Linked DNA regions of Drosophila melanogaster. The protein of the gene in region 1 interacts with the protein of each later gene in a pairwise test. Each region holds a gene or a part of one and is shown in the gene's direction. Other genes may lie near its edges. The genes, in order: CG34334, gudu, Gas8 and CG14384.

What was found.
Region 2: the proteins of CG34334 (region 1) and gudu interact in a two-hybrid assay, tested with the Drosophila melanogaster proteins (one large-scale study listed by BioGRID).
Region 3: the proteins of CG34334 (region 1) and Gas8 interact in a two-hybrid assay, tested with the Drosophila melanogaster proteins (one large-scale study listed by BioGRID).
Region 4: the proteins of CG34334 (region 1) and CG14384 interact in a two-hybrid assay, tested with the Drosophila melanogaster proteins (one large-scale study listed by BioGRID).

The regions. Positions count from the first base shown.
Region 1 is NC_004354.4:22,870,944-22,875,893, forward strand, and holds CG34334 (uncharacterized protein), read left to right. Parts: upstream 1-1,868; 5' UTR 1,869-2,072; coding exon 2,073-4,199; 3' UTR 4,200-4,424; downstream 4,425-4,950.
Region 2 is NT_033779.5:7,386,699-7,391,423, forward strand, and holds gudu (gudu), read left to right. Parts: upstream 1-1,809; 5' UTR 1,810-1,977; coding exon 1,978-2,594; intron 2,595-2,676; coding exon 2,677-3,928; intron 3,929-3,989; coding exon 3,990-4,130; 3' UTR 4,131-4,204; downstream 4,205-4,725. Other genes in the region: CG5149 (uncharacterized protein), read right to left, coding at 1,277-1,405; CG5160 (uncharacterized protein), read right to left, coding at 4,377-4,725. UniProt on the Drosophila melanogaster protein: Important for spermatogenesis where it may have a role in sperm individualization.
Region 3 is NC_004354.4:3,501,827-3,506,734, reverse strand, and holds the start of Gas8 (growth arrest specific protein 8), read left to right. Parts: upstream 1-1,883; 5' UTR 1,884-2,193; coding exon 2,194-2,196; intron 2,197-3,303; coding exon 3,304-3,346; intron 3,347-4,908. UniProt on the Drosophila melanogaster protein: Cytoskeletal linker which probably functions in axonemal and non-axonemal dynein regulation. May play a role in the spermatozoa motility.
Region 4 is NT_033777.3:12,965,438-12,969,731, reverse strand, and holds CG14384 (uncharacterized protein), read left to right. Parts: upstream 1-2,019; 5' UTR 2,020-2,131; coding exon of another isoform or gene 2,132-2,278; intron 2,279-2,353; coding exon of another isoform or gene 2,354-2,572; intron 2,573-2,983; 5' UTR 2,984-3,129; coding exon 3,130-3,179; intron 3,180-3,255; coding exon 3,256-3,703; 3' UTR 3,704-3,794; downstream 3,795-4,294. Other genes in the region: CG7381 (uncharacterized protein), read left to right, coding at 1-101, 192-311, 382-501, 565-969, 1,039-1,170, 1,235-1,387, 1,449-1,549; Cyp304a1 (cytochrome P450 304a1), read right to left, coding at 3,960-4,289; grsm (granny smith), read left to right, coding at 2,132-2,278, 2,354-2,572.

The DNA.
Region 1 (4,950 bases):
AAATATTTCGTGAAGCCAGTCTACATCGCCGTCGAAAATTCATCTGTATTTTGGTAACTTGCTTGTCCACTACACTAAGGAGTCAGAATCTGCTCGGATTAGGAGTCTTCCAGGGCAACCTCCCTTGACTCCCGTAGATTCCCTGGACACTCTGAAGACGTCGACTGCCACAATTATTTCAACGGCCGTCAACCGCTGGTGCTAGGATATATTATTCCATTAGGCTTTGTTTTGTGTAAATTATTTTGAAACGCTTACCTGAATTTGTCACTAAATCCGGTGTCAATCGCGAGTCTGAATTGTCGTCGGTGGGCCAGTGGGCCAGATGATTTTTCTAGTGGGACAAAAGTCACATTTTTAAATATTTAAATACAGTTTTTTCTTTTTTAACTGACTCTAACTGACTATCCGTCTGAGCCTATAAGAGTTAGCATAAGAGTTTTTGCTTGTTTAAACATATGTTTCAGCGCGTGGTCATTAAATATTTGGCGTAACGTTTCGTATTTGTTTATTGACCTTTAATTTAAACAAAGTAAAACAAATTCAATTAACAACTTATGTTAACTTTAGGAAATAAATGTTCGAAATAAAAATAATGTGTTTGTGACCCGCATTTTTATGTTTAGTAAAAACAAGTGTTCGAAGTTTTTATTTTACCAGGTATGGCATTACGCTTGAATTTAGCATATTTGGACTATAACTAACCTTGTTCACTCTTGTTCGAGCTGATTTAAGCATTTATGTAACGTGTGAGCCTTTGTGTCGTTGATTTTTTCAGAATTATATCCAACTTTGACCAACTGTAAAGTCTGTCAGCCCCAAAGCGTGTGCTTCATTCCAATTGGCTTAGCGAAACTGATCCCGCATACCAAAAGTAATTGGTATTTGGTACACTTTTAAAGAATCGTCAGCTTTCTGAAATATAATCTGAAAGAAAATCAACTAATTTTGACCATTTCAAAGCAGTCGACGATCTAGGGTGATCGCTGCCTAATGAGTGATTGAAGAAAAAAATAAAGAATGTAAGAGTTAATCAGTAATTATATGTATGTGTAATAAAACAAGAAAGCATACCGGAATGCTTCACCTTTGGGGAGATGGGGCTGTCCTAGTCGTTTGAAGCGACACCGACGTGTTGATAATGAGTGATGTCCGCAATAATCCTTCGTGCAACCTAGGTCGGTTGGGTGCCAGTACTTTAAGATTTTGTCGTTTATGTAAATTGAATTCGTTTTTTTTCTTCTACTTTTTTTTGCTTGTCTGCTTTTTAGAGATCATAGATATGTAGGGTCGATAGTCGATGTCGATAGTTATCGATGCCTATGTTGCAAGCTGTGTGGCACTCCGCCCTGAGAAAAGCCTGAGCTAGGGGCACTGCCACTAAAAAAAAGAAGGCAGTTCGTAACATACATATATAGGTTAAGTTAATCTGCGAATCTGCACACTTTCTTACAACTAACTTCCTATCTTTTATACTTCCTGTGAGCCCGACGTTTATACGGACAGACAGACGGACATTGTTCATTTGATCAAAATTTGATATGTCATATTAATTGCTAGTTATAATAAAGAGATCATAGTTTCGGTGCTTTTAATTATAAAGTGTTTTTACTTGGTATACAACAAATTTGTATTTAAATGTATAGTAACTGGAAGGGTATATAAACTTTGTATTACCGATGCTACCTTCCTTTTCTTGTCTGTGTATATTTAAATTATGTTGACAGGTGATAGGAATGCCTTCCCTGAATGACGATAGTTACAGCCCTGATTTCGAAGTGTTGGACAACGATTATATCCTTAATGTGGTCTGGTCTAGTGTTAAATTGCTTGAGAATTCGTTACTGCGGTGACCTAAGGTGGCAACCACAAAGCAAAAAAGTTGTTATCTATCATTGAGTGGCCTTTGCTTGGTCAGCTTTTATTTTTATGACAGTTGTCAGACCAAGTTTTTACACGCCATTACATTTTCATAAGGCAGCCGTTCCCAACGTGTGAGTAACGGAGCATCAAATCAAAATAGTTTCGAAGGCCGTCATATTTGTTCGCAGTGAAAGTGAAATCTTGTGAAAATGACCAAGGTATCAGGGACGAAGGCAAAAGACGATGGCGAGCCAGCCACTAAGCGCGAACGCAAGGAGATGCATTCGCACAAGAAAGATCGCAGGGAGCGATTGGAACGCATGGAGCGCATGGACCGCAGGGACCGCAGAGACCGCAGAGAACGCAGGGACCGCAAGGACCGCAAGGACCGCAAGGACCGCAAAGAGCCAGCCAGAGGCCCCTCCTCCCGGATGAGGAACATCTCACCAATTCACTCGAATGCTTCGGAGAGCACTGAAGCAGACTGCAGCGACTCCAGCTACTCGGACTCGAGCTACAGCACCTCTGGATCGTCCAGCTGCACAAGCTTTTTGAGCTCCACCAGCAGCAGCTACTCGTCGAGCGACAGCGAGCCAGAGCCAGAAGGATCCGTCAAAAAGTTTGAGCGCACCAAGCACTCGTGTTGCCATTACCGACACCATCGTCGCCATAGGCGCCACCAAAACCCTCGTCATTCGCACCGTCGCCGGCACGTCACCCGTTGCCATCACTCGAATCACGGACGCTTTTCCAAGCGTTTGGCTAAAAAGAGTCGTCGTGGCATATCCGCCGCCAAGGGAGCTATCACGGTTAAGGAGGAGGTTGTCGAAAAAATTTCTCCTGCTTCAGCCCCTGGGGTCATTCAGATACCGGCACCCATTCCGCTGCCCGTGCCGGCACCCATTCCGGCTGTCCTGTCTGTTTCGGAGGCACAACCGCGTTCCCACTCCCGTTCGCAATCGCACTCCCATCTCCATAGCCATTCCAGCTCCCATAACAATCCCCACCCGCAACCCGTTCCGGCCCCTGTTCCGGTACCAATTCCTGCTCCGATCGCCATGCCAACTCCTATGAGGGAGCCAAGCAGCGTGGTATTGGACCGCAAGTCTCGTAGACGCAGCTCCACCTCGCAGAACATCGCCTCGGCCGCCAGCAGTTCTATCGGCACCAACCAAGCCATCATCCAGTCTAGCACTATAACCATTACAAAGACGATTGCCAACGCCACTGGTATGGCCGAAACCAATTCAAGTGGCGGCGCTAGCATCTCCAGCACAAAAAATAAGGGGGACAGCAGTACCGGCCAATCTTCAAAGACGGTTGTCACCAATAACGCGGGCAGCAAGGCGGGTTACCAAGCCCCCAAGACTTCAGTGGCAAGCACATCTTCGAAAGCGGTGGTCAGGTCTAACGCAAGCGCCAGTTCAGGCCACGGGAACCACACCAGTTCCAGCTCGAGTTTCACCCAGCTGCACTCCAGTGCCAGGCCCTCGACAGCCAAAGATCACGACAAGAGTCCTCAGCAGAACCGCTCAGGCAGCTCAGGCCCCAAGGGCAAGTCGTCGAAGATCAACGATCCTCCACGTCGTGGCTCTTCACCGTCTGCTGGTGCAGAACCTACTCGCCAAAAACAAAGCGTTCAAAATCAAAATGGGCGGAATTGCAGCAGCCAGTGGAACCATCGGCGCGGTGAAGGGGATGGAGAAGGAGCAGAAGCAAGTGGACGGGGCTACAGAGCCGTGGGTGAGGTAAACAAAGTGGCCTACAGAAACGGAAAGGACGCCTTCAAATTTCGCCAACCCGTGCGCAATGTTCGCCTGCACATTAAGGGATTGACGCGTCAGGTGACCAAGGAGCACATAACCGAGATATTTGGTCACTTCGGCGCCCTGACGGCAGTCGACTTTCCAATGGACCGTTTCCAAGGGCGCCAGGGACGCGGATACGCCTTTGTGGAGTACTCACGTCCAGAGGACTGCGCCAGTGCCATCAAGCATATGAACGGCGGGCAGATCGATGGGAAGCTGATCAGGGTGTCCGCCTTTCAGGAAAGCATGCTAAAGGCGCCGTGGCGTCAATACCGACGTTACTCGCCAGTCAACCGGCGCCAGAGCCAGCGTACGTTGTCCCGCTCGGGCTCGTCGTCACGCTCTCGATCGCCGTCCCGCTCTGCGTCCGGCTCGGAATACGGGTCGCGGTCCTCCCACTCTCGCGTCCGCTCTATGTCGGGATCGCGCTATTCTCGGCGCAACCGTTCGCAATCGTGCTCCTACACTCGCTCATCGCCGCGCTACGGGCATTACCATCGCCCTAGACGCGATTCGCGTTCGCCCTAGATAGGCGGACCTGTCTAATGTTGCAAAAGGAAGGCGAGATTAAGCCAGACAGGATTTTCAGGACTCTGCCAGATGCCTATTTTATTCCATTCCAACTTCAAATACAAATGTAGACTTGATGGACATCGTGCGTTTTAAAAGTTACTTATTAATACCAGTCTAATTTAAAAACATTGTTGGGCTTAAAATAAATAAAAATAAAAATCCATGCTCCGCACAAAAAAGAATTGTGAGGTATATCAGAAAATAATCATCGTATGTAAGGTGGTTATCTGTTAGTAATAATATAAAAGCCCACTGCAATCAATCGATTACCAAAAGACAGGTAAATGGTATTTCGTAGAGAACGCTTAGAAAAAAAGTACCGCTATTCGATGTAAAATCAAGAACAAACCATATCGAAAGTACGGTAAGCCCAAAACTTGTATAAGGGTATAATATATATAATAGGGTATAATAGATTCGTTGAAAAGTATGTAACAGACATAAGGAAGCGTTTCCGACTATATTAAGTATATATATTCTTGATCAGGATCAATAGCCGAGTCGAGACAAGTCGTCTGTCCGTCTGTCCGTATGAACGTCGAGATCTCAGAAACTATAAAAGCTAAAAGGTTGAGATTCAGAATACAGATTGTAGAGACAAATGCGCAGTGAAAGCTTGCTGACCCGTGTTGCCACGCCCAATCGCCAACAAACCGCCCACACACTTTTTTTTGGTTTGTTCATAATTTTATTAGTCTTGTAAATT
Region 2 (4,725 bases), on another chromosome or scaffold:
AAATGCGCGCCGGATACGTAAACATAATTTTCCCGCTGCTGTCAGCAAATTCTTGCAGGGAACGAAGGTCTGGGAAGCGCTGACACAGATTAACCCATTGAAGGACGTACAATGAATAATAATTTGGTTTGACTGAAAACAAAGTCTCTCAAGTTTTATGAAAATAAATACTACTTCAATGTATGTAAAGTTTCAATTTAGAGAGTTTCCGCTTAAATTACTCTATATGAATGCAAGTCTTATAATTTCCTCATTCTAAAAATCAACTATTTCACATGCCATGCTGTAAACGGGTTAAGCATATGGTTTATTTTTAATTCAATTGGGTTTGGCCCTAATTGACGACCCCAGTCATTGAAATCACGACTAATTCGTTAGCAAGCAAATTCAACAAAGCAAAAGACAAACAGTGAAATGCGGCAGCAAACAAATTAGACAAATTATGGACACGTTCGCACTGGCCCAGGAATTATCAATTCGAAACTGATAACGCCCGAGTTGAAGATATCGAATTTTGCTATACCCTAGGAAGCGCTGTGATAATCAAACACGAGCTATAAATAGATGGAAATATTATAAGGAAAAATCATCATCTGGTTACAAACAAACATTTTTTGAGTGGTTGCATTTCCGTCATCTGTGCTGTGATAAAAATAAAACACAAATCTGGGGCCTTGAACCCGCATCGGAAAAATTATAGCATAAATTGTGTATGATCAGATTGATTTAACTAAATGGGTTAAAATAACAATTTTGGAAAGTTACGTGTACATTTAATCTAAATAGGACTGACTAGTTTAGAAAATTACATTTTTAAACAAGTTGAATAATTTACTTTTTATAAACTCTGTTAAATTTCCTGGTTTGCACTTTAAATCGAAAAAGAACTGTATTAAAATAAGGTTTAGAAACTTTGAACTTTTGTATAATGCCGGATAATGTTGCGACTCACTCTCTTATATAACTAAGCTTCTTTTTCGGAACATAGTACTATGATTAACTTCAATGTTTAATCCTCGAAATAGGAGTTAGTGACAACAACAAATTAATGCCCTAAAGGATATACCCATTCAAGTGAAGGGTGGCCATCGCAGCAGGTGGATGGACGGCCGTTTGTCATGCACTCGAAAGTCCCGATTTCTCTTTTTTTGCCGAAGAAAGTTCACTCCGCGCGTCCTTGAACTTGTGACCCTGACCCTTCCGCAAATGCAGAATGCAGTTGCCATTGATTTTCGCAGTGCACACGTGGCACGGTAACTGGATTTACTTGACTTACCACCAATCTGTCTTGGGTCAACTTCTCAAGTGCTCCGCCAGAGGCGTTTTTGTACGCGGATTCCAGCATGCGTAGCTCTTCCGAATTGTAGAGATTATCCGTCTCCCGCTTGCCACTCGCATTTCCCATCTCAGGACACGAAATTCAGTTGGCTGGTGCTACGACGGCTGGTAAACAAACAATGCAGCTGCAGCTGCGGATGATCGCGGATTTTAATTGAAAATAAAAAACAAACAACACAAGCTGGTGATGGAATGGCAGTCGATTTCCCTGCGATACCCTCGATAGTTTCGGAAACGGGTAAATTTCGCGGTGGTCGTCTGCACTATGAATGGTTATTGTCTGTGCTAAGTCAGGTCGATGTATTTGCTAAACGGTTAATTTTAACCGCTAAGCGAATTCAACGAAGGCCAAGCGAATAAAATAAATTTTAAATGCCTTGGATAGCTGTAGTTAAAAATTTATTAAAATAAAAAAAAACTTACAAGTTTGAGCTAAGATACCTTTGCCCTAGCCCGGTATTTTTGAAATTATCTCAGTTACCTTAGCAACACGCCTTATTAAATCAATTGCCTGGCCTAATAAAGTTCTCCCACACAAAAACACAATAAATTCCGATACAAAACTGAAGAAAGCTGGCATACCGACAGATATTTCCGGAATACGATTGGCCAAATCTGTGAGTAATCCAACGCGAAAGGATGATTGGCACTAGCAGCGGAACGTCCCACAATCGGAGTCGAAAGAAGAAAGAACAGTGCGGATCCTGTCCCAACAGATTCTCAAAGGATAAGCGCCAGGTGGCCGCCGAGGACTCGGATACCACGGAGGTGGAATCGTCTACGGATGAGGAGGAACGCTGGAAGGAAGTGGCGCGAGCCGCTGAGATTCCGGCTGACTATTATAATATCCAAAAACTGGTGAAATACATCAAGGCGGGCAATCAGACAGCCACTATAGTATCGTTGTGCTGCTTGAAGGACTACGATCTGAGCACCCAGATCAATCAGTTCGCCATCTCGGACATCGGCGGACTCGATGTCTTGGTTAACATCCTGGAGTGCAGCGACACCAAGTGCTGTTTGGGCGCCCTCAAAGTTCTCTCAGATATCACACTGAACATCGATATTAGGAAGACCATCGTAGATCTGGATGGCATTCCCCTCATTGTGGACATCCTAAACTCTTCCATGAAGGACCTAAAAACCATGGCCGCCGAGACATTGGCCAATGTGTGCAAGGTGCGACTGGCCAGAAAGTATGTGCGCACCTGCGGAGGAATCCCCAAGCTGGTGGATCTCATCGACATCAAGTTGAGGTGAGTTGGCATTGGATAAAGTGCTTCATACTACATCACCACATATAAGAAATAATTAAAAAAAAACCTAATTATATTATAGCATTCTAAAGACGCCTCGTGACCAATTGAGTCCAGATGATCTGGAATCTCTCGATATGACACGCGCTGGAGCCCGGGCTCTTTTCACTCTGGCCGATTCCAAGCACAACATGGAGCAGATGCGCAAGAGCGGAATTGTTCCTTTGATGGCTCAGCTCCTTAAGTCCTGTCACATCGATGTCGTCATTCCCATAATGGGCACCGTTCGAAAGTGCTCCTCGGAGCCGAAGTTCCAACTGGCCATCACCACCGAGGGCATGATTCCCGACATTGTGAGCCATCTGAGTTCCGAAAATACCGAGCTGAAGATGGAGGGCAGTACAGCGATCTACAAGTGCGCCTTCGACGGAACCACCAGGGATTTGGTGAGGGAGGCTGGGGGCTTGGAACCTTTGGTAACTATCATAAAGGACAAGAATGTGAGGGAAAATAAGCCTTTATTGAGAGGCGCCACTGGAGCGATTTGGATGTGTGCCGTAACCGATGCAAATGTCAAAGTGCTGGATCAACTCAGGACGGTGAACCACCTGGTGGCCTTGCTAAATGATGAGTGTGACGAGGTCCTGACCAACGTGACCGGAGCTATATCTGAATGTGTGAGATTTCAAAGCAATAGGGAGCAACTGCGTCAGGCTGGAGGATTACCAGCAATGGTTTCCCTACTCAACAGTTCTCACGCCCCTCTTCTGGAAAATTTAGCCAAGGGATTGAAGGAGTGTGCCGAAGATCCGGACAGCATGAGAATCCTTGAGGATCTGGATGCGGTCAGGCTGATATGGTCGCTATTGAAGAACCCCACAACTAGGGTTCAGGCCCATGCGGCTTACGCCATATGTCCCTGTGTTCGAAATGCCAACGATTCCGCTGAATTGGTCAGGAGCTTGGTTGGCGCCATGGAACTGGTGGTGGGTCTGCTAAAGTCCAAGGATATCATGGTCTTATCCGCCGTTTGTGCTGCCATTGCAACAATTGCCCAGGATCAAACCAATCTAGCCATCTTAACCGATCTGAAAGTCATCTACAAGCTAGCCGATCTCGTCCAGACCACCGACGACCTCCTTCGAATGAACTTGGCAGCTGCCGTGGCCGCCTGTGCCTGCTTCGGTAATAATACGGAGGAACTGGGACGTCTGCGTACTGTCACTCCGATTGTCACCTACATGACCAGCGACAATCCCTTGGTGCACCGCAGCACGGCCATGGCACTGGAGAAGCTATCGATGGATCCGCAGAACTGCATTACCATGCACCAGGTACATTTCTTCTACCTAATCACACTTAGCAACTCATTTAGATTCTTTTATTTTACTTCAGAGTGGAGTTGTTCCTTTCCTGCTGGAGTGCATTGGATCCACTAACAAGGAGCTCCAGTTGGCCGCCGCTGGTTGTCTGCGCAATATCCGCGAATTGGCCTTGCGTGCCGAGGAATATCTGCTTAAAATCGACGATGACTAGCTTCCTGTTTTTTTTTCTTTGTTAAGTTATTTAATTGTATTTGACGAAATATATGTGTGTATGCCGATGCTACCAATTTCTTGCATTTTTAGCAAATAAATTAATAAGTTAGTAAATTTTTAAACCAGAAATCCCAGAAAAATATGTTTCATTTTCCATGACAATAACATCTAGCTATATAATTATATATTTGTCGCTACATATTTTGACTAACTAAGCTCGACCCACCCTGCATAAAATTCCACTCTAGTAACTGGCATTACTGCCCCTGGTGGAAATGCTCATCCGTCGCTCCACGCGATTCGTGTGTGGCAGCAGGCATCCCGGCGGTGGATACCGCCATCTACGTGGTCGGGACAACAGGGTGCCGTCCGTCGAAGCTCTACTACGGAAGGGAGCATCGATGTCGCTGCGTGAGCTGCTCAAACTGCTACTCGTAATCTCATCCGTAGACTCCGTATGGTCACCGTTGCTCTCCTCCAAACAGGCGCTTCCGATGACCAGAAAGGAATGTCGACCGACGCCCAAAGACGAGGCATCGTAGAAGGAACAGGATCCCGAATCGGGCGTGAGGATTCCATCCGTATTGGCCACA
Region 3 (4,908 bases), about 19 Mb from region 1:
TCCCACGATTTTCAACACACCCAAGTTGCATCAACTGAGTTGGCATTTATTGGACTTCTGCTACGAGAACGAAAACAATATGTAATAAAACATTTAATTTAATGTATAAATTTTTACCCAGAGTAAAGCTCTGACAAAATAAAAGAACTAAAACTTAACAGATTGCATTTTCTTTAAAAGGAAATTACGGAACTCAATTAGAATCAAAAGAAAACGCAAGACGTAAAAACATTAATTTGAAAACAATATATGTTATGCATTGGCTTTGCGGTTTTATTATTTTATATTTGTCGTGTGTGGAAACCAGCAGGTTTGTTCGAAAATAAGGAATAATAATAATTTAATCATTTTCGTAATTGAATTGGTAGAAAATCTCAGTAGGTGTCTGCTGGTTGGTTGTATCGAATTGAATTTTTCACGATGGCTGCCCATATGCTATTCAATCAACAGGGAAGAAGCTCTAAGGAGCGTATCATTACTTCGCAGCAGAACTGAGATCTTGAGGCTTTCCTACGATATACACGAGATTCCTTTATGTTTGATTGGATCGTGCATAGACGATACTCATCTTATTAATTGTTTACCTTTTCTCGCTTCTTAAAGAATTCTCCTTAAAGCGCGCACACACCTCGGTCCTGATAAGCAAATTTTCTAATCATATTTTAAATACTTTCACTTTCAATCAGTGCTTTTTCAGCGGCTACCCATTTTTGCCACCCCTTTAACCCTTGGCAGCCGTTACGGAATTCAATGGGCCATGACCGACCGCAGCCGTTGGCAAGAATAAAATGAAACAAAAATTATGCAGGGCAGATGGAAAAGTGTCTAAAAAGGGTTGAAGGTACACAGGAGGAAAATTGGGTAACTTAACGGCTTAGATTGCAAAAAAAAAAAAACAAAACTTGTTTCCCATTTTATATGTTGGATCATATGTATTTTGTTCCGTGTCGCTTCGCCACTTCAAGTCTTGGCTATAAACATTTTTATAACGTGGAAATAATAGTTTTTCTGTCTGTAAGCCAGCCACAGCGTCTTTGCTATCAAAAATTGACTTTTAATGAAAACAATTGAAAATTCTCGGTGTCTATGTGCCGGGTCCGAAAATGTTTTCCCATGCGAAAGCCACGGGATACTTGTCTCAACTGCCGACGTACTGCTCAACTGGCCAAAACTGGCTGCGGTTATTAATTTCAATTAAAGCATTTAACCGAAGAGCCCACCGACTTTTGTTTACCCAACCTGCCCCGCCCCTAGACAGCATTAATTAAGGCGGGAAAGTGGCGGAGTTTCTGGGGGAAATTCCAGGCCATAGGTGCTGTGCTATTCAACGGACTAATAAAGTTGATTCGACCGAGATTTTCAGGACCATCAAGCAATTCTCAAGCAAAAGGAGAAGCCGAAGATCTGTCAGCTTCCTGATAATATCGTATTTCACGAAATCATCAAATTAGCCAGTAGTCAAGAGCAGAGACTGCAGTGCCAACAGCATTTAAAGTCCGTCCAACAAACGGCAAATAAACAAACAGATGCAGGGAAAATTCTGGGGCCAATGTGCAGGGTGGAAAATTAAGAAAACCGGGGCAGAGAAAATTCAAGAGACCATTTATAGGAAGCAGACAGCAGACGGCGACAAGAGAAAGAGTCTGGTCTGGTCTGGGCTGGCTTTTTGGTTTTCACTGGCTTGGGCAGCAAACTAATGTCGGGCACACGCGTATACCAAAGTAGATGTGGTTTATTTTGTTGAATGTATACCTGCATTTTGTATTTAGAAATATATATAATATGATATTCGAATAATATCACTACGCTTTAGTTAGATGTTTTTCAGCACATGAAAATCTTCCCGCCCCTAGTAACCCAGTTGATAACTGCAAAAGTTTCCCCAAATTTTGAATTTTGCCAGTTCAAAACCATTTGTCCCTGCCGTAGAAATATAATTGAGAGAAGACTGAACCGAAAAAACAACGCTTCAACCTTTAACCTCTTCTTTCGGTTGCCCGGAGACACACACACACACACACACGAATACACGAGACACCCACAACACACACATTGGCAACTGCTTTATCGATAAGTTTGTTTGGTTGTTGGACCGTAGAACGCCAATAGCTCAGTTGGCAGGAAAGACCAAGCCGAAGTGGTTCTTATTCTTAGCAGAGGAATCGAAGCAGAGGAAGAAGCACCGGCAGCAGTATGGTGAGCAATAAGTTGTTAAATCACATTAACAAAGCAGTGCACCCATTCGGCCGCCTTATGGCCGCACTGCTTGGCCAGCAGCAGTTTCCGCCTCTATCCGATTTCCGGTTCCATGCCGCTGCTCCTTTTGGTCTCAGCTTTTCAGATTTTTTTTTTCAGTTGCACTGCAAGCGGCGCATTCAATTTTTCATGCCAAGCCAGGCTGTTGCTGTTGCTGCATATACAAACTGCACTTTGCGAGTGGGCTACAGTGAAGCCTCGGCAAGGCGCTGTCCTGCTACTGCTAGTCAAAATGTCAACGTTGGTATGGCGCATTCATTTCAAAGCAACTTTAGTAGTCGTTCTGTCTATATAAGAACATATGTAGGGAGAACCTAAGTTAGTATAACTATTCCCTTTACAGTGGCTCCACTGTGTATTTATAGCAGTCAAGCAGGAGTCCTCCTCTCCAACTCCTGCTGGTTGTCTATTTTCGATCATTTGTTTATGTATAGACCTGCCCCCAACATATATCCGCCTTTTTTCCATCGGCTACATATATATGTTTATATTTATATTTATATTTATATATATATATATATAAATATATACATTGCGCCTTTGGACATGCGAAAGCGCGGTTGGCGACGGGCGCAGGCGGCTTCGAAAATTTTTGAATAATTTGCAGTCATAAAATATGCAATAAGCCAGCAGCCAACAGCCAACAGCTGTTGCGAAATTGTTTTGAAAGCCGCGCCATCACATTATTTAAAGCAACGATGGCAGTTGCCCGCTTTCTCCGCCTTTCGCTGCCTTTCTCCCACGTGAAGGGAATCGAATTAAACGTTGTTAAAGGATTTAAAGTGCGAAAAATAGTGGCGAACTGCAGACGACAATTGCACAGTCAGTACCCCATTTCCATTCTCCTGCGAGTAGAACTCTTTCAATTTGCATAGACAAATGTGGAAATTCTTTGCTGCAAGTTCAGCCGAGACTTCAAGTTGAGTTTCCTGCTCGGCTCGGATTCTTTAAATGAATTAAATAAGATTTTCTCTTGTAACGTGCGTTCTCTTTTGAGATTAAAACTAAATCAAAATAATAATTTCATTTGAACTTATTTTCTTACAGCCGCCTAAAGGGAAAAAGGGCAAAAAAGGCAAAAAATTGCCAGGTAAGTAAAAAGCTCGAGTAAACTGCACTTTAGCATAGATTTATGAATTCCCAAATTTAACTACTTTGAACGGTAATTGAAGTGAAGGATATCAGTTAATTGTTGCAAAATTCATTTAGTGCCCTCTTTAAGAACACCGGCTGTTAAAGACCCTCAACGAGTAGACAAACTGAACAAGGACGAGGACTGCCTGGCAATTCATTTTCGGAACATTAATGGCAGCAGGGTGCCACCACTGGGTAGTTGGGTAGTTGGATATCTGGGCAGCCGGAATGGCGGACATTGGTCATTCAGGGCAATTTATAAAGGCCAAGCAAAACAATTAGTAAATAACGATAATCTGCGTGAGGAGAGAAGCAAAAGAGAAGGCAGGACGCGGGCGCAACGATAGGGACGATAGGAGCGTTGAGGACAAGAAATTCCCGATGCAATTGCTCTGACTGCAGCCTTGCAGTCAGAAAATTTAAAGGCAAAAAATGGGGAGGGGGGGTTCCAAACTGACCACTTAATTTGCACGAGTGAGCACACTGTAGGTTCCACAAATACCCAACCATCCTCCGCTCTCTGGGATCTCTCTAACGCACATAATTGTTTCTGTGCGTGCACTGAAAAACGCTCTTACTCGTGGAACGCAAGGAAACTCCTAGTGTATCGTATTATTATAGTTATATCATCGATTTGTTTATGCCACACACTTATCTTAACACATGTCTCTAAATAGTTTACACGCGCTCCTTCACTTTGACTTCAAATTGTCTTTGCAATGCAATGTCTTTGGTCTTTTTTCCACCGTGTGGCATCTAGTTCGTCTCCTGGTAGTCCTGTTGGTCCTGTTGGTCCTAGTAGCCCTTCCTAGGCCGAGTCCTGGCACCAGCCGGCCAACGATGCCAATTACAGAAAACAATTACAACACGGTCTGCTGTTGGGTCACATATGCGGGCAGCGGCTAAGGGAAGGGGGGGGGGGGGCGTGGCAGGGGTAAAAATGGACGAAAAAGGGGCAAAAGGGGGGGGGAGGAGAGGGTAACCAGGCGTGCCGCTCTCATTAAATAGCCATAAGGACGGGAGCCCCCAATATGCGGACTAAACTTTTCACGGACCCCTAGCCCAATATTAGAAAATAACCAAGACAAAAAAATTCCTGTTCACACATGAACACGAATATATTTAAAGACTTACAATTTTGGGCTCCGTTCATATCTTATGTAAATGAATCGAGAGCGATAAATTATATTTAGGATTTTGTTATCTAAGGCGACATGGGTGCATTGCTCAAAAACATGTAATTTAAGTGCACACTACATGAGTCAGTCACTTGAGATCGTTCCCCGCCTCCTAAAATAGTCCCTTAGTGGGAGACCACAGATAAGGTCCTCGCCGCTCAAGATAGGCAGATGTGCCCGAGCGTGGGACCTCGATAAGGCGGGGACTATTTACGTAGGCCTCTGCGTAGGCCATTTACTTTAAGATGCGATTCTCATGTCACCTATTTAAACCGAAGATATTTCCAAATAAAATCAGTTTCTTACAAAAACTCAACGAGTAAAGTCTTCTTATTTGGGA
Region 4 (4,294 bases), on another chromosome or scaffold:
ACGCCGCTTGCCCGCCCTCTTCCGATTCGATGACGAGGATATAAAGACCTACTCCACGCTGGGTTCCAGCCGCGATGACGACGATGCCGATGAGAAGAAGTGTGAGTATCCAAGAATGCCCCCAAAAAAATGAAGTCTCTCAATGCTTAGGCAATCTTAAATATATTTCAACTATTTTTTTTCCCATTTAGATGGCAGCAGCTGCACGGATAATGGAAAGACATGCTCGGGTCTGCCGCACTCGATTTGTTCCAAGAATATTTGCCTATGTCGCCAGGGTTACTATGCCCGCAATGGAAAATGTTTTGCCGGTGAGTAAACTGGGTTTCCCCCAATTTAATTCTTCTATTAATGAAATTAACTGAAATGAAAATTCTTTAGAACTGGGGGAAATTGCGGAGAGCACGGATGAGTGCGAGTACGAGTTCGATCAGTTGACCAAAACTTGCAATTGCCAAAAGAATTATTTCTACGAGCGGGATCTGCGCAATTGCAGAAAACGTAGGTGGTTCCAACGCTAGCTGCTGAATCGCACTTAAGATATATCCTTTTCCATCAAAACAGCCATTCAATACCACTTATCCTGCACCTCGAACAGCCAATGCAGTCCATTTGGCGCCTCCTATTGCCACCCGGAGATTCCGAGGAGGTGCACCTGCGAGGAGTACGCTCTCTACGATGCCATCAAGCAGCTCTGCGAATACAAACGTGGCCTGGGAGCCGAGTGTGAGTCGAACGATGGCTGTCCTGTGGATCACTCCGTCTGCTCCAATCGCGTGTGCGTTTGTGCGGACAACTACTTTGAGAAGGACGATCAGTGTATGCGTGGCATCGGTGCCGACTGCTCGGTGGAGGATGACTGCATACCTGAGAACACCGAATGCCAGGAGAAGGACGAGGAGGATCAGTCGCGCACCTGCCAGTGCCGAAAGGGATACGTGCACTTTAAGGATGAGTGCCTAAAAGAGGGTTAGTACTCAGAAGCTGAAATGCAAAGCAGCAAAATTATGCCCTGCCCCACATTACATTTCATTATAGCCGAGGAGCTGGAGGACGAGTGCGTCGAGGATGAGCAGTGCAAGCCGCTCCTGGCGAGCTGCAATTCGGAGGGCAAGTGTGGATGCAACGATGAGCAGCATGCTAAGAACGGAGTCTGTGAGACGAAGCGAGGTAATTGAGTCGCTAAGCTTTCTTTAATTATTTGTAATAATTCTAATATGTTGCAATCTTGCAGAGCTGGGAGAGTCGTGCACCAAGGCCACCGAGTGCTATGTAGAAAAGGATCCCGAGAATGTCGAGTGCCGCAACTCCGTGTGCCAGTGCAAGCTGGGCTACTCGGCGAACGCCAATCAGAATCAATGCATTCGCGTGATGCCCAATAAGAAAAGTAAGTGTCCTTGCAAAACCAATTGAGTAAGGATGATCTATGAATGTCACGCTTTTCGCAGATTCTTCCGGTAGACCAAGTGCTCTCAAAATCATCACCTTCATGCTGATTGGCTCCGCTTTCCTTATCACCAGTGCGGCCATAAAGCAGGCCTACTACTAGAACCAAACCAAAACCTAAATCCTTTCACCTGCGTGTTTGGGGAATGGCGAGGATAATCGAGGGAGGAGTTGGCCAAGGACCTTGGGGGGATCGGGGTGATTTGGGGATCGGCGGGAGTGGCCAGTATTAGCCAAGTTACTGGCATGGATGCAGGTCCATGCGCAACGTGAATATAAATCAATTAGTTCGTAAGTTGATATTTAGGAGTCGAAGCAATATAAATTTGGAGAAAGGGTCCTCGGAACGGAACGACTCTCGCTTATCTAATACGGCTAAGTGTAATGACAAATTATCTGTAAGTTTTGAAGTTAAACCGCTTGTTGCTAGGCTAAGCGAACAGTTTTTAACCAAATTGTAATATATACATCATAATAAACTAAGGCCAACGAAGAGTTGTGTATCAAATCCAGAAACTGGCAATTATTATTAAACAAGTAGTTTTGAGATTTCACTTCTATCAGTTAGCAACAGCAACTCAACTCAAATTTGTACCTTTCAATTTTTCAAGCTCGAATGTTTTGTACGTAATTCTTAGTTTAGCATCCTAAATTTCAGTACGTTAGTTGAAAAGTATAAGTAGAGATGGCACCGTATCCAAACGGCTTTTTAAGTTACGCGGTGGCTATACATCTTAAATCCCCGCACCTCCAAATGGAGGAGTCACTGCGTCAGGGAGCGGGGTACTGGAATGCATTGAGTTCGCGAGAAAAGAATCAGTATCGATCGAAAGTAAGTTCCTAGGGATTACACACTTTCCCCCTGACCGGCGAACTTTATCTTCTGCCCTTCGTTAATACCCTGCAGTACCAGAAACGGTGTCTCAGCAAAAGCTCCACTTCGCGTCATCGGCGTCAATCGGAGAAACTCAAACATATGGGATGCGGCCGCAAGAAAATAGTGCCCAAGTGTTCCCGAAAGCCCACGACTCCGGCCTGCAAGCCAAGGAGCGTCAATAGGTGTCCCCGGAAAAGCAGCTCCAACCGCTCGAGTCGTGAATGCATGCTGATGAAGTCACCAAAAGGCGTAAGTGCCAGTAGTTTAAATAATATTAACATTTATTTTATTATTTATAAAAGTTACTTTTAAGTAAGATATATTTTCATGTGTATGTCAACTTCACTTGTTTTGATAGTGAATTTTAAACACTGGGTTCATAGCGAACAAGTTGTCGTTTTCGTAACCAAACAATTATCACCTTGTTTTCAACTCTATTTTCTATTTTTTTTGTTGCCACTCAATTGTCTTAATATTGATAAGGGCATTTTGGTCAAAGTGTTTGCACATTATCTTGCAGTTTGCTATTTTATTTTTGTTATCAGCTCGGCTAGTAAAACAATCTGCAGTAATTTGACTGTATCTTTTGATTTATATTCGATTTGCGACCCATTTAAAATGGAGATTAAAATCTAGGGACCTTGAATTTCTGTATTTCAGAAGCTCATATTTGCATTCGAATCGAAGAGAACAGTAAAACAGTGTCAAATATTTCTGGGTGAACTTTCCGAGTACAAATAGGTCAAAGTTGATTTTGTCGTAAGACAATTGCTAAACTGAACTGCCTATAAATTTCAAGTCTCAAAATGTCCCTCAATTGCCCGGTTCATAATAAGAACTCCAGTGGCTTAAACATGTAAGTTTCGGCCAAGAGATCGCTTTCGATATCCGGCGTATGTGTTCCTTGTGGTAACAATGTGGTTTGCATACAGTACCAGGTCCGCAACCTCGGATGACGTCAAGATCGCCATGTGCGCCTGCTTGGAATTGGCCAACTGTCGGGCCGAAAACTGTCAGCTGAAGAAGAAACTGACCGAATATGAGGCCAAGATCTGCAGTCTCGAACAACTGGTGGCCACCATTGCGGAGGAGCAGAACCAGATTCGCCAAGAAGTGATCGAGTTGCGCAATGAGACTCAGGGTGCAACGATGGAAGCCGCCAACGAGGTGGATCCTTTGGACAACTCATTCGTGAACCCGCAAGAGGAAATGGACGATGAGGAAGGATACGATCCGGATTCAGAATCCGAGTACAATGCTATCCAGTCCCCCAATCCCTCAATACATTCTTCGATGGTCTCGCTGGTTCGCTCATTGAGTTTTTCATCCACCAGCTCAGATTCTGATTGCATTGTATACAGCGATAATGAGGATTTCTAAGAAACCCATCTCATTCCAATCGCATCTTCTCAACAAGTTCCGTTCGCGAACTTTGATACCACACGATATGAGTAAACGACAATGTTAAAATAAATAGTTCGTTGTGGTGCATCACATAATAGTATTGGGCAATTCTAGAATATTTTTGAAATGTGACGGAATAAAATTCCTCAAAAAATATCCAAGCAAACTAGCTAACGTAATCAGTAAAATTACTTTGTCTTAAAAATAGATAACTCTAATATCTTGGCTACTTTCAATGCCGATCCTGTAGTTGCAGCCAGAAATCTGGTGGCGAAATAATCAGTCCATTGAGGTTCTGGGAGAGATCGGGCAACCGATCATTGGGGCCCAGGACGAAGTCAAAGTGCTGGCACATGGTCGCTGTCACCAGGAAGAGCATGTTGCGCGCAAATGTCTCGCCGGCACAGAGCCGTTTTCCCGCTCCAAAGGGCAGCGAGACATCCAGTTTCAGGCAGAGCTTGCCATCCGCGTCCAGGAATCTCTCCGGCCGGAACTGCTCCGGATCCGACCAAATACGGGCGTCCGAGTGGAAGGCATACAGGCTGGGCACGACAATGGTGTCCTGTA